2 linked regions of the Saccharomyces cerevisiae S288C genome follow. Changing the gene in region 1 together with any one later gene gives a genetic interaction. Each region holds a gene or a part of one and is shown on either strand. Other genes may lie near its edges.

Region 1 (11,138 bases):
CTCCTTCTGGTAGAAGTAGGTCTTGCACAGAATGTCGTTGGTGAAGAATGGGTTGGCGGAAGAATCAAATCTGAACAACAGCTTGAAACCGGGTCTACCATCCGTCAAGTATTCCAGACCAATATCTTGCAGGTACTCCAGAACTTCCGCATCGCGGTCAGTGATCGTGTCGCAAACGATGGGCAAGTTCTCTAATGCGGTTAGCCAGAATGAGGGAATTCCCTTCACCTGTTCCTCCTCGGAATCATTTTGGGCCTTCTCTTCTTCGTCCACCAACAACTCCGTCTCATTGAGTGACTCCACAATCTCTTGGCCCTTTGCGATCTGTTCCGGCTTGGGTTGCTCTTGTCCTGAAATGATCCTGGACCGCTGCTCCCAAATGGGCTTGTACTTCTGCAGAAACTTGTTCTCTAGCTCAAACATCTCCACCTGAAATTCCTTTTCAACTTCGAATAGCTCGCTTTGTAAAGTCTTCAAGCTCAGCAGCTTTTCCTTAACGTTCTTGGGAAGACCCCCCACATACCCGCTGTCCTGGCCCACCAGCGAGCCAAGTCTGTCCTGGATGGACTGTAACAACAGGGGTTGGTTAGCCAAGATGTCCTCCTCGTTGATGGTGCCGATCTTGTCATCCTGCTCCTGTGCCTGGGCCCTAACTGGGTTGCCGTTTTTCAAATAGCTCGGATTCAGAACCGATGCTGGGGTATTGTGAGGCGTAGGGGCGTTGTCGATTTGCATCGACGACTTGGGTTTCGTTCTGATAGGGTCTGACATGATCTTGCGCTTTGCTCTTGGTCCCACTGGGCTCACTAAATCCTCCTAATCTACCATCAAACTGCCATTTTTGATCCCAAACGCTGCTATTTAAAAGGAAAAATTTTCCCAATTACGCGGGTAATACAAAAAAGATATAGCCCATTGTTATAAAAATATGTATGTGTTCAATATAGTGGTATATAGGTGTTATTTGCGCTGAATGATGTACTTGTCAATGTCTGCGGGCTCATTTCCCACCAACTTGTTTTCCCAGTCGACCCAAAGCGCCTCCTTTGGATTCCAAAGTCCCCTCTGGACACACTTCTGCAGGTCCATCCCGAACGTCGGGTCTGTGTGCTTGTATTTGAGCACTGAATCCAGCTTTGGAATCTGCCTTTGCAACGAAACTGGGCCTTGCGGGCACGAAGTTCTCATGTATTGCAGCTGGTCCCACGTGGGAAAGCGGTTGGCGATTTCCACGTCGAATCGATGAGAGACGTCTCCCTTCAGCAACTGCAGGCATTTCTGCGACTTGATATTGGACGCGATGTCATTGGTAAACAACGAGATGGTACGTGGCTGTCTCTGCAATGTTTTCCAAAACGACATTTATTGCGTTTGCGTTTGCGATCTCCCGGTCTGTTATTTTCATTTGCACTTTTCTTAACGTTCTCTTTTGGTTTTATATGCCCCTTTCCAAGCTGGGTGGATACCCCGTCCATTGAGTGCCCGTGCCCAATCAAGCTAAAGCCAGACTAAAAAGAGGAAGAGTTCAAGAACCATCAATGCCTCCAGCACAATTTCACAACAGCTTGACACTTTGGCAACGGTTATATCAGAGCATAGCGACGGGATTAGAGAGATGCAAGACGACGGAAGAAAGAAGGGAGTGCCCGGCATGCGCTGAAAGCGCCCTGTAGTACAAGCGTACCGCCGTTGAATAGGCCATGGTACATCACACGATGATTGATAATTTGATGCAAGCTGCCATGCTCAGATGGTTGTTTCCCGTTTCTCTCTTTCACTTTTGATCTCCTGCGAAGAATAGGATGAGATGTGAATTTTCGTTTCTAATCCCCTCGGCCGTGCGGCTGAAAAAGAGAAATGATATTGGAATAACTAGGTTTCAGATGATGAGAAAAGAGGCTATTTTGTACTATTCACCGACGATAAGAGGCTGTAAGAACCACTCATGCCAACAGCTAAGAGGACGTCATCCAGGGCTTCGTTGGCACTGCCCTTCCAGTTACGGTTGGTGCACAAGAAATCATGGGGCCATCGGCTAAGAGACTTCATTTCCGGGTTCTTAAAATCATGCAGACCCATTGCTAAATACGTTTTCCCCAACTTCATCGTGGTGCACTATATCTACCTGATCACGCTGTCGATTATCGGGTCCATTCTGTTATATCCGTGCAAGAACACGGCGTTCATCGATGTGCTATTTCTGGCTGCTGGAGCGTCTACACAGGGCGGGCTGGCCACCAAGAGCACTAACGATTTCAACCTGTACCAGCAGATAGTGGTGTACGTCATTACATTGCTGTCCACGCCTATACTTATTCATGGGTTTTTGGCCTTTGTCAGGCTGTATTGGTTTGAAAGGTACTTCGACAACATTAGGGATATCTCCAAACAGAATTTTAAACTAAGAAGGACCATGACGTTGCAACAAAGGGAACTATCGGGCAGCAGTGGCAATGCCGCTCGAAGTAGGAGTTTCAAGGACAACCTGTTCCGTGGGAAGTTTGTTTCCAGAGAAGACCCACGACAATCCGCTTCAGATGTGCCGATGGACTCTCCTGACACGTCCGCATTGTCCTCAATCTCACCGTTGAATGTTTCCTCCTCTAAGGAGGAATCCAGTGACACGCAAAGCTCGCCTCCAAACTTCTCAAGTAAGCGCCAACCCTCAGACGTTGACCCAAGAGACATTTACAAATCGATAATGATGCTACAAAAACAACAAGAGAAGAGCAACGCAAACTCCACGGATTCTTTTTCGAGCGAGACCAATGGACCCGCTTTCATTGTGCAGGAACGTCATGAGAGAAGAGCCCCCCACTGCTCACTGAAACGCCATTCTGTCCTGCCATCTTCTCAGGAATTGAACAAGCTAGCCCAGACGAAAAGTTTCCAGAAATTGCTTGGCTTGCGGAGAGATGAAGGTGACCATGACTACTTTGACGGTGCTCCTCACAAATATATGGTCACCAAGAAGAAAAAAATATCTAGAACGCAATCATGTAACATCCCAACGTATACTGCTTCACCGAGTCCTAAAACCTCAGGCCAAGTAGTTGAAAATCATAGAAACTTGGCCAAGTCGGCGCCTTCATCTTTTGTTGATGAGGAGATGAGCTTTTCACCGCAAGAGTCTTTGAATTTACAGTTCCAAGCGCACCCGCCCAAACCAAAACGACGTGAAGGTGATATAGGCCACCCCTTCACCAGAACAATGAGCACCAACTATCTATCGTGGCAGCCAACCTTTGGCAGAAACTCCGTCTTCATTGGACTCACAAAGCAACAAAAGGAGGAACTCGGCGGTGTCGAATATCGTGCTTTGAGATTGCTGTGCTGCATTCTCATGGTATACTACATCGGATTCAACATTTTGGCGTTTGTGACCATCGTTCCATGGGCCTGTACGAGGCACCACTACTCAGAGATTATTAGACGAAATGGAGTTTCTCCAACCTGGTGGGGGTTTTTCACTGCAATGAGTGCATTCAGCAACTTGGGTCTGTCTTTGACCGCTGATTCAATGGTTTCCTTTGATACTGCGCCGTATCCGCTGATTTTCATGATGTTCTTCATCATCATAGGCAATACAGGCTTCCCAATTATGTTACGATTTATCATTTGGATCATGTTCAAGACCTCGAGAGACCTATCTCAGTTTAAGGAAAGTCTTGGGTTTCTCTTGGATCATCCGCGCAGGTGTTTTACGTTGCTGTTCCCCAGCGGCCCCACATGGTGGCTGTTTACAACTTTAGTCGTCTTAAACGCTACGGATTGGATTCTTTTCATAATTCTGGATTTCAACTCCGCTGTAGTAAGGCAGGTTGCTAAAGGTTATCGAGCTCTCATGGGCCTCTTCCAGTCTGTATGCACAAGAACTGCTGGATTCAACGTTGTTGACTTAAGTAAATTACACCCGTCCATTCAGGTGTCTTATATGCTAATGATGTACGTTTCGGTCCTGCCGCTGGCGATTTCCATTAGAAGAACGAATGTTTATGAGGAGCAATCGTTGGGACTATACGATAGTGGACAAGATGACGAAAATATCACCCACGAAGACGATATAAAGGAAACAGACCATGATGGCGAATCCGAAGAGCGAGACACTGTATCTACAAAGTCCAAGCCGAAGAAACAGTCCCCAAAATCGTTTGTTGGTGCTCATTTGAGGAGGCAACTCTCTTTTGATTTATGGTACCTATTCCTTGGATTATTTATAATATGCATATGCGAGGGCAGAAAAATCGAAGACGTTAATAAACCTGATTTCAATGTCTTTGCTATATTGTTTGAAGTTGTTAGCGCTTATGGTACAGTGGGTTTGTCATTGGGTTACCCAAACACCAACACATCACTATCTGCCCAGTTCACCGTATTATCGAAGCTAGTCATAATTGCCATGCTAATAAGAGGAAGAAATAGAGGTTTACCATACACTTTGGATCGTGCCATCATGCTGCCAAGTGACAAACTGGAACAAATTGATCGTTTACAAGATATGAAAGCTAAGGGTAAGTTGTTAGCCAAAGTTGGTGAGGATCCAATGACTACTTACGTCAAAAAGAGATCCCACAAACTGAAAAAAATAGCAACAAAGTTTTGGGGGAAGCATTAAAATCAAGTTTACCCCTCTTTACCTACATAAGAGCCAACGTAATTTTCTCTCAGTATTATATGTATTATCTCCGAAGTTTATTATTCTTTAACGAAATATAAAAGAAAAATAAGAAAGATTAAGACCCTAAAAGGTGTACCACTACGATTCAACAAGCACAACGAATCCTATCCGTAATATACTTTTGATTTCTGACTATTCTAGAAAAATTTTAGTTCATTTTTTTTCCCTCTTTTTACTTATTGTATTTTTCACAATTGAATTGCATTTTGTCCCCTACGAAAAAAGGCAGAAAACGAGATCTAAACCACTTTCAGATCAGAATAATAATAATAATAATAACCAACCAAAGCCATCAACAGGTCCACTAGAAGCATCTGCCAAGTTACGACCTAAGCAAAGGTTTGAGTGAAAAGTGAATTGCGACAGTACAATCACAAAAGTATAGAAACATAATTGTTATGGAAAACAAACTACTTTGTTGGTGGTTGTACTGGCCATGCGTGTATTCATCTATTATAGCTACCATAATATCTTTTTACACCATAACTAGACACTTATTAAATTACCGTAAACCATATGAACAAAGACTATCCATACGGATACTATTGCTCGTGCCCATTTTTAGTGTGTCATGCGCAAGTGGCATAATTAAGCCTGAAGCAGCTCAATTTTATGTCGATCCTATCAGAGAATTTTATGAAGCATTCGTTATTTACACTTTTTTCACATTTTTAACACTACTACTAGGAGGCGAGAGGAACATCATTACTGTTTTAAGCTTAAATCACGCCCCCACAAGACATCCGATACCGCTAATAGGTAAAATTTGCAAACCGATAGACTTATCTGATCCTTTTGATTTTCTTTTTGTCAAAAAAGGCATATTACAGTATGTTTGGTTCAAACCATTTTATTGTTTTGGTACATTGATATGCAGTGCATGGAAGCTACCCAAATTCGAAATATTTTTGAACGTTTTTTATAATATTTCAGTGACTTGGTCACTGTATAGTTTAGCACTATTTTGGAAGTGTCTCTATCCGGAATTAACTCCTTATAAACCATGGTTGAAATTTTTATGTGTCAAATTGATTATTTTTGCCTCTTATTGGCAGAGCATCATAATCCAGGGTCTAGTGGTTACTGGAAAGTTGGGTACGGGAAACCAAGATCGAACCTCTGGATATGTGTACAAGAATGGGCTCCTGTGTATAGAGATGGTGCCTTTCGCCATCTTGCATGCAGTAGCTTTCCCTTGGAACAAATACACAGCATTTAGCATACCTTATGGGGCCAGGATGAAATTCATTTACGCTTTGAAAGATTTTCTTGGTTGCGGTGATCTAATATGGGATTTTAAACAGACTTTGTTTGCTGGTCCCTTGTACTATAATTATAGGAACTTCGATCCTGAAGCCATGGATCTATTAAGCACTAGACAACAATCCGGTGCGACTATGGAAAGACTAAAGCATGGGCTAAGATTTACTGATAATGGAAGAAATAGTTATTGGGTGGCATATGGGAGTATAGATAACAACCTTGTTCCGGAATCAATAGAGGAATCATGGGAAGATGATATTGCTGGTCAGAGAACTTTTCCTGAGGATCCAAATTATCCGGTTGTTCACGACTACACGATGGGCCATCGATATAGTAGATCAATGAATGATTTAAGAAGAGATGTTCAAAGTAGGTCATCAATGGCTTGTTAAATGAGTCGTTAAATGTACGTATATACATAGTTACTGCGCTTTCGGTTATATACAAAATAAAACAACATCTACAAGCAATGCTTTTTTTTCAATTATTGTAACTTGGATGCTTATTCTAATAAAATGAAATAAATGCTACTGTAATTTTTTGCCGGAGGATTGGCTATATATGCAGAGTGGGAGTTGGACGATATCACCATTATTATTATTTTTCTATTATTACCATTGGACTTGTCTTTTGCAGCAACAAAAGTGGCAGCAGCAGCAACAGCACCACCACCAATGCATTTTGGCCTTGCCTTTTATAAGTTGTCAAAAAAAGTTGACCTCGAAAAGGGGAAAAAACATCAATTTTTCATTAAAAAATGCTTAGCACATTCATATGCAGTCCAAGAAATGGCAGTGGCTGGTATATTAGCCACTATCCTTGGTTTCAAACCTCGCCAAAACCCCTTCCAACCATGAACCTCCAGTATGGCTCTTGAGGCTCTACCAAAAGTGTTCGCATCCTTCATTATTTCGATGGAGACAGTTTCGCTGCCTCTAACCTGTAATACAGTCTTTATGCAATCCAACGGTGTAGTTAACGCAGCACATGTTGCACCACTTATCCCACCGCAAAGACAATGAATCAATGGATTGTAGGAATTTTGTGGGTTGAAGAATTTGCTGGCAGATTCATATATCATGAAATTGAACGCTGCAAATGGGATATTCATGGCCAATGTTGTGGGATAGGAGTAGTAAAATGCTGCAAAGCCTTCATTTTGATATATTTGCTTAGTAACATTCCAAACTCTTAGATTAGTATCCAATTGTAGTCTTTGTTTAACGGTGTCAAAGGGGTTCATCAATGCATCCGCAGCAATGGTAGCAATGGTACCACTCAGTGCGGTCTTCATTGGTTGATGAGTTTGCATATCTTCAGGGCTTATCAGGCGAGCTTTGCAAAACTCGTATGTACCAAAATATACTGCATGCGCAGGCCCTGCCCCCAGTATTACCGATTGAACACCCTTCCATAAAGCCATCGAACCTTCCATTGTAGATATTTTGGATATCTGAGATATCATCCCTGTAGAGGCAGCTTTATTCAATCCTGCAGCCTGCACTCGGGTTTTCAGAGCATCTATTGGAAACATCAAAGAATGCTCCATTATACCTGCAAATGCTCCTGCCAGTAACTGGGAATGTAGCGGAGCATGTGATGGAAGAGCTTCGTAGTCGATTTCCTCAGCTATTGACAGTTCTGAAGTATTCATAATATTAACTGATATTTCGGTTGAGTTTTTTACTTCTTCACTTTGTACTTCTCACGAAAGTCTTCGTCAATAAACCTCTGATAAAGTGAAAATTCTATGAGATTCCAATAAAACCTCCAAATATCTTTATATACAGCTTACTACTTAGATAAGATGACGTTCGCCAATGGTAGGCAAAAGATAGCAGGGTGTTCTTGCCTTTCAGTCTTCGCCATGCTCTCATTCAAGAAAGGGTGCCAAAATACCGAAAAGAGACACGATCGGGGGTGTCAAAGTAGCGATTCCTGTGGGTTAAAAGAGGGTGAACCACGGCAAACATGCATGTGTAAAACCCAAAACGCCGATCTAGGGCCTGCGACGCATGGTACGAACATCCTGAAGGTATATAAAAGAGCTAAAGTCTTGACTCATGCCTGAAATCTTGATTTTTCATTGTTATATCCTCTCTATACATTAGTAAGCACCATAGATGGGCTGGCTATCAAAAGCGAGAAAAAAAAAATGCTGAATTCCAAATATGTACTCATCGGGGTGAATTTCAATGATGTGTTATGTAGATACAATATATATGTATAAGTCACTAAATGCATACATACGAGAGTCTACCTTAAGTTTGTCCAAGTGAAAAAAACTGGGCATAGCAAAAAGACGGTTGTAGGTATACCTGCGTATATGAGAAACCTTCCGACGATTTCCACTTTGGAAACACCGCTGTACAATAAACACTCTTCTTCTTCACTTGTCTCGTTATGGAAATGAACCTTTTCGCTTCTATCATCGTGAAATCTGAGTAGTTTAATTAACAGCGTGTAGACAGCTGTCTTGCTAATGACGTCTTTCCAAACAATCACAGAAGCGACACCTACCAGAGGCCTCAAGAACACCTTAGAACCACATGATGCGTACCTACTACATACAAGGTTCCATCCGTATCTTTCGGTTAACCAGTCGCTGCAATCCAGCCCACTGACTACGCCAATGAACGCTACGCTATCTTCGAAACAAGGACATTCATCAATGGGCCTGACGTGGTTAAACAGAATAAACAAGCCCCATGCTACACTCAAAAGGGGAAACCAGAGATGTTCACCAATCTGGAAATTTCGTAAAGCATGCACCACCCAGATTCTTATAAAAAAACAGATAGCTCCAACTGCGGCGCCGCTAAATAAATCCAGCATACCATGCATACCGCAGTAAACTCTACCAAAAACCAGGGTTAAGTAGTAAAATATCACCAGACTCAGTAAAAGAAGCTTTGTTGGCCATACCAGTGTGTCAGATAAACATATTCTCCAAAAGAATAATAGACTTACCGCAGTAGCGTTAGCAGAATGTGAACTGGGTGCACCATATTCTTTCGTAGTGTATTCACTTAGTGTGATTCTGTCAACTGGCGGTGATTTTGGCCTTGGTAGGCACCAATAATCCTTTAAGTAGCCACTCAAATAAATTGAATAACCAAGAACGTAGATCATGTCCCGTGTTAAATCGCGGTATCCAAGCCACACAGGCATGGGAAGCACGATAACATAAAACATGTGGGAACCCATAAGCGAAGTGTATTTGAAATAAACGTCTCTAAAAGGCGTTCTGTGCTTTTTTTGTAAAGAATGTACGAAATCTGATTGGTTGTCTGTGAATCTAGTTAGATACTGCCTTGTTTGAAACCTTAGCCACGACATCTGGCTCTCAAAATGCTCCGCTGGATGATTACCGGGATCTGCCAATAGGTGTTTGCCGCCGGAAGGAGCCATCTGAACCTTAATGGTGTCCTCGGTAACACCCAATTCAGTAACCGTCTGAATAATGGTCATAATTAAATTCTTTTACAGGCTTGCTATTTTGTATATTTTTTTGAAGACTACCACTGCCTAACTTCTTTTTGTCATGTTATCAATTCAACTAGATGTTGAGAAGGAAGCCAAGGCAAGGCTGATAAAAACTAAGAAAATAAGGAAAAATCATTATGTTATATAACATGAATTCTAGACGTACGTGCTCGTAGTTAGGAAGTATCTAAATAAGAGTCCCCACGTTACTTTAATTAGAAGCACGCCATCTTCCTACAACCGATTTTTTTGGATTGTAGATATCAGAGTCTCATCAAACAAGAGGAACCCAGAATAGGCACGTCCACTGAGAAAACCGCGGACAAGCAAGACACGCGTACCTGAAAAGGCTACATTTCTTGAAGAAGTTGTTCAGTTGAGCTAGCCACCTCTTTAGCCTGAAGACGTTCGTAATTCAAAATAGATTCCCTTGGCAATTGAAGCCATGAACTGAGTGAATCTGCAGGCTCAATCGTATTAGACAGTATGGCAGTAAGCCTTGCCCGTTCCTCTTCTTCACTTTGTTGAAGAAGAGGCTGTGGGATTCGTACCCCAGGAACGATCTGCAAATTGTCCGAGCCGCAGAATACGTGCGCACAAAGTTTAGCGACCACTTCAAGGTCTTTCTCTTCATCGATCTTTCCTCCGTATACGATCGTAGCTATGTGATCTCGCACTTGTGCCCAAGGAATGTTGTTGGTAGAATTGGTGGCTAATACATTCTCTAAATACACTGAGGCAAATTGAAAGTCGCAATCATTAAAGTAATACTTCTTGGAAAACCCATGAGGAACCAATCGGGTCCTGGCAGTGATCAAGGCATGAAACCATGACAATAGGAAGGTACAATACACGCTCCATACTCCTGAAATTTTACCAGTGAAAAATTGAGAACCCCATAGATCTTTGACGGTATCTAGTATACCTGGGATATCCTCATACACAAATCTATCAGTTCTTTGTAGCAATGGGGCAGGTAGTTTATCACCAGTCAAATGGCATGTCATGAACATTTTGAATTTCTCATGTTCTTCTGCCGCCTTTGTCTCCTCAACATGCTTGTGCAGATACGTTTTCACCCATGATAGCGACATTTGTATGTTTTGTAATAATATCCAACCACCTTCTATCTTAGATTTTGATATTTCCTCTTGAGCATAGTTTAGATTTTCTATAGACCCTAGCGGGATGATTTTTAACGATTCCTTCGAGGCTTTCGCCAATTCGATTAATTTGAATGTGCCATCAACATCTCGCTCGCTTGCCATTGTAAAATAGTTGTTCTCGGAATTGGCTACCACATCCGCGATATTCCACTCATCAACAAAAAACTCATTTTTGAACCAGTTCAACGCAGATATATACGATTTGGTTGTAACATAGTCCCATAAGTACCGCAAATCATTATTTGTATCTACGGTTAGTTTTGGTACGCCATCGCTACTTTCAGAGAGAACTCCAATCATAGTTAGAACTGCCTCTTTATATTGTTCACTTTCAATGTCGAATTTATACAAACAAAACATCGTCATAGCCATAATCATTTTAAATTTTTTGTCAAGAGCGGTGGAGAATTGACAATATACTTCTTGATATAATAGCCAAAGAATTTCATCTACCCGTGTCCTAGCTGCTCTTGTTTCCCTAGATTTCTTAATGAAGACACGTTTGAAACATGATAGAAATTGTCCTATAGAAATGCCGTAAAACC
Region 2 (3,149 bases), on another chromosome or scaffold:
CCTCCCCTGATCATCTGTAATGATAACTTGCCAACCGTCCAAATCTTTCAATGTTTTAGCCATTTTAGCTAATCCAATTGTTAGAACAAAACAACTTTCTTAAACCCCTGTAAGGAAGGTGATGAAAGGGCTGCTTATGTGTTTTTCTTTTTCATACTATGTTCATTTTAACTTTTTTGGAAAGAATAGCGTTTTCGCGGTCATATTACTGATGCGATGAAAATTTACAATTATTTCTTTATTTAGATTGATACATAATATGGTTAACTTTAAATACATCTTTTGGACGCCGCATAAACAAACGTCCCGAATACTTTGTTCCCCTGGATTCGTTGTTTGCTTAACACTGTCAACTCTCTACTTAGTTTCATTTACACCATTTCTTTGTGTATCAGTCATTGCGAATACCCTTGCATATCTAATGGATCGAAAATAAATGGTGATGTCAAGAATACGAGATACAATAGCCAGGCCATTCCAGAACCTTACAGCCCTTGAGAAAGTGGTACAGTGGCTAAGATTAGGGACGACATTACTCATAATCTCTTTCGGGTTGGCGTTGACTGTCGGACCCCTTTCTTCGCCAAGAACATTGTACATGTCACGACTGGATACTTACTCTGCTGATATTACGACGGGTTTATTTACCGTGTTGAGAGAGTCTATGGAGCAGTCGACATCTACAGAAGAAAATAACGGTGTAGGCTTAACAACATCCGAACTGTATATATTGACTGCTTACACCGAAAGTCAGATAAAGAATGTTCCTCAGTACATCACAGTGTCGCTTTATGGGAGGTGCGATTCAACATATACCATGGTGGAAGTATTCGACTCTGAAGGAAATATGCATAGCGTAAAGAATTCGACTACTAAGAGTACCTGCAGTAGCATAGGAACGGACTATCTTTTTGATTATCGTGAGGTTTTAGAAAGCTTGGGTTTAGATATCATTTTAGATTATGCATACAACAAAATCGGTTCACAACAGGCAGAAAGTTCTGCATACACGACCTACATGAGGAGTTTAAAACATAAAAAGGCCAACGTGTTACATTTACTCTATGCAGTTATTAGTTTCCAGGTGTGTATGTTATTTTTCATGATATGGTACTACTACATAAAGGGAAGGTTTATGAACGCCCTCAAAGAAAGGGCACTTGTTCATATCAACTCTCTACTATCGCTAGTTGTTTTCATTGGGGGCCTGATAAGTAGCATAAGCCTTGCCTGGGTTAACTACACTATTCAGTCTAGAATTAATACAGAATTAGAGGCCTTCGGGTTTTCTTACCATCTTGGAGTTACATGGTTTGCGCTTCTGTGGTGTTTTGCAGGTTTGATTTCTGTGTCATGCTTAGCTTGGTCTGGCTTAGAATGGTGTATTTCCGATAATGGCACGTCCTATGGAGGTGGAATCGATGATAAATTCTTAGGCTACCAAGCCGGTGTATTTACTGATGCAGATCTAGACGATGAAACTTCTTACAGTCAACGTTATCCGCAACGACAGTCTACTTCGGGCGAGGCTGAACTGATGAGAAACAGTGATACTATGGCAACAATAAGAAAAACATCTGATGTTGACTTAAATAGTGAAAATGATGCTAACACCAGTTTAGACCATGGAAATCCCACCGCAAATATAAGCAATGGCGGCAAACACGAACCATTTGCTACTAGAGAGGAATTCGAATTGCAGGACATAAGATTCCGGTCAAGCAACGACAGTGAAGAAAGTATGCAAAGGGTTATCAAGCCTTCGTCAGCATTACAGTTTTGAATTCTTTCACCCATCATTCAAAATGCATATGCATACTATATTTGTCTAGTTTTTAATTATATAATAATAATAACAGAAACAAAAAATCGCATTCATCGTTTAATCTTATTTTTCTTTTTTCACCTTTTTCTTGTGAAATTGCCAAGCGCTTAAAAAATCGTTATTTCAGAACTAAACATCATTAAGCAACGAAGAAGAGAAAAGCGGAACTATAACCATGAGTGATACTACGGAAGTCCCTAGGCAATCATCTGAGAACGACCAGGATAATAACTTGGAAAGAACCAACTCATTAAAAAGTCCGGACGTGACCAACAATATACCAAGTCTTTTCAAATTAGCCGCCGAATGGCAAATCAACAATCCACAGGAAACCTTCCAAAACCATATCCTGGAAAATGATGTACTCAAGAAAATTAATGAAATCACTCATTTGATCCGGGAATCGTACAAAGACCTCTCCAGTCAAGATGGGATGATGTCCAAACAACAACAGGAAAAGATGGATTGGGATTTGTTTTGTACTGTTCCTGTAAACATTATTGAGCAATATACAAAAGACATGGACGAAATATATGAAAAAATGGAAAGGCTAGCAAAAGTAAGTATAGGTCGAAACTAGGCATCCTGTGCCATCTCAATTTTACTACGTTCTTTTACTAATAATGCAAATTTAATAACAGCAACAACGTCTTTGGTGTGAATCCGCTTTTCAAATAGACGTGGAAAGATGTGGTGACTCCATTCTCAATGCTGAAACGTGGATGAAGAAGAAAGAGCGCCATTTAGAGTACAAAAATATTGAAATGGAAAGATCCGCAAATGAAATTAAGGAAACTATTCAAAGACTAACAGATGATAGATGAGCCATACTCAAATATATCTGCGATATTGCTAATGTTAGCTATTTCTCACATTTGCTTTTTTTGATTTTATTTATTTACTTTTACGACAACTGGCCTTATCACTCGGCTCTCTAAAAGAAGTCATGTTCCCTTCGTTGGGTTAATTTTTTTTTTTTTTTTTTTTGTTTATATGTTTTTTTTTTTTTTGCCAGGTATTGTTAGCGCCAGATAGCAAAAAATTTTATTCAGGGATACTGAACACCGGGGAAGTTAACTGAGTATATCGGTTATCATTATAAACACAAGAATGTAAGCCAGAAAGAAAAATAAACGTCCACCCCTCGAACTTTCACATATAAGCAAGTAAAGAAAAAGTTAACAAAAGGAGGTTCAGAACATGACAATTGAAAGCACTCTAGCTCGGGAATTAGAAAGCTTGATTTTACCCGCTGATTCCATAGTGAATGTAGTTGACCAATTCCAAGAGGAGTTGTTATCACGGCTTCAGACAAATACGATTT

Evidence for each region. A genetic interaction does not mean that the proteins touch.
Region 2: mutations in YSR3 (region 1) and GMC2 together harm fitness more than expected from each alone (negative genetic interaction), as found in Saccharomyces cerevisiae (2 studies listed by BioGRID).

Annotation. Positions count from the first base shown.
Region 1 is NC_001143.9:525,870-537,007, forward strand, and holds YSR3 (sphinganine kinase YSR3), read right to left. Parts: upstream 9,413-11,138; coding exon 8,198-9,412; downstream 1-8,197. Other genes in the region: histone chaperone NAP1, read right to left, coding at 1-771; FMP46 (putative redox protein), read right to left, coding at 961-1,362; TRK2 (Trk2p), read left to right, coding at 1,946-4,615; HFL1 (Hfl1p), read left to right, coding at 5,077-6,333; MRS4 (Fe(2+) transporter), read right to left, coding at 6,681-7,595; DYN1 (dynein heavy chain), read right to left, coding at 9,778-11,138. UniProt on the Saccharomyces cerevisiae protein: Dihydrosphingosine 1-phosphate phosphatase required for efficient ceramide synthesis from exogenous sphingoid bases. Involved in endocytosis and calcium-mediated signaling.
Region 2 is NC_001144.5:1,022,189-1,025,337, forward strand, and holds GMC2 (Gmc2p), read left to right. Parts: upstream 1-2,000; coding exon 2,001-2,384; intron 2,385-2,466; coding exon 2,467-2,649; downstream 2,650-3,149. Other genes in the region: chromatin-silencing protein SIR3, read right to left, coding at 1-63; ECM7 (Ecm7p), read left to right, coding at 437-1,783; NGK1 (hexokinase), read left to right, coding at 3,026-3,149. UniProt on the Saccharomyces cerevisiae protein: Probable transcriptional activator involved in meiotic prophase and synaptonemal complex (SC) assembly.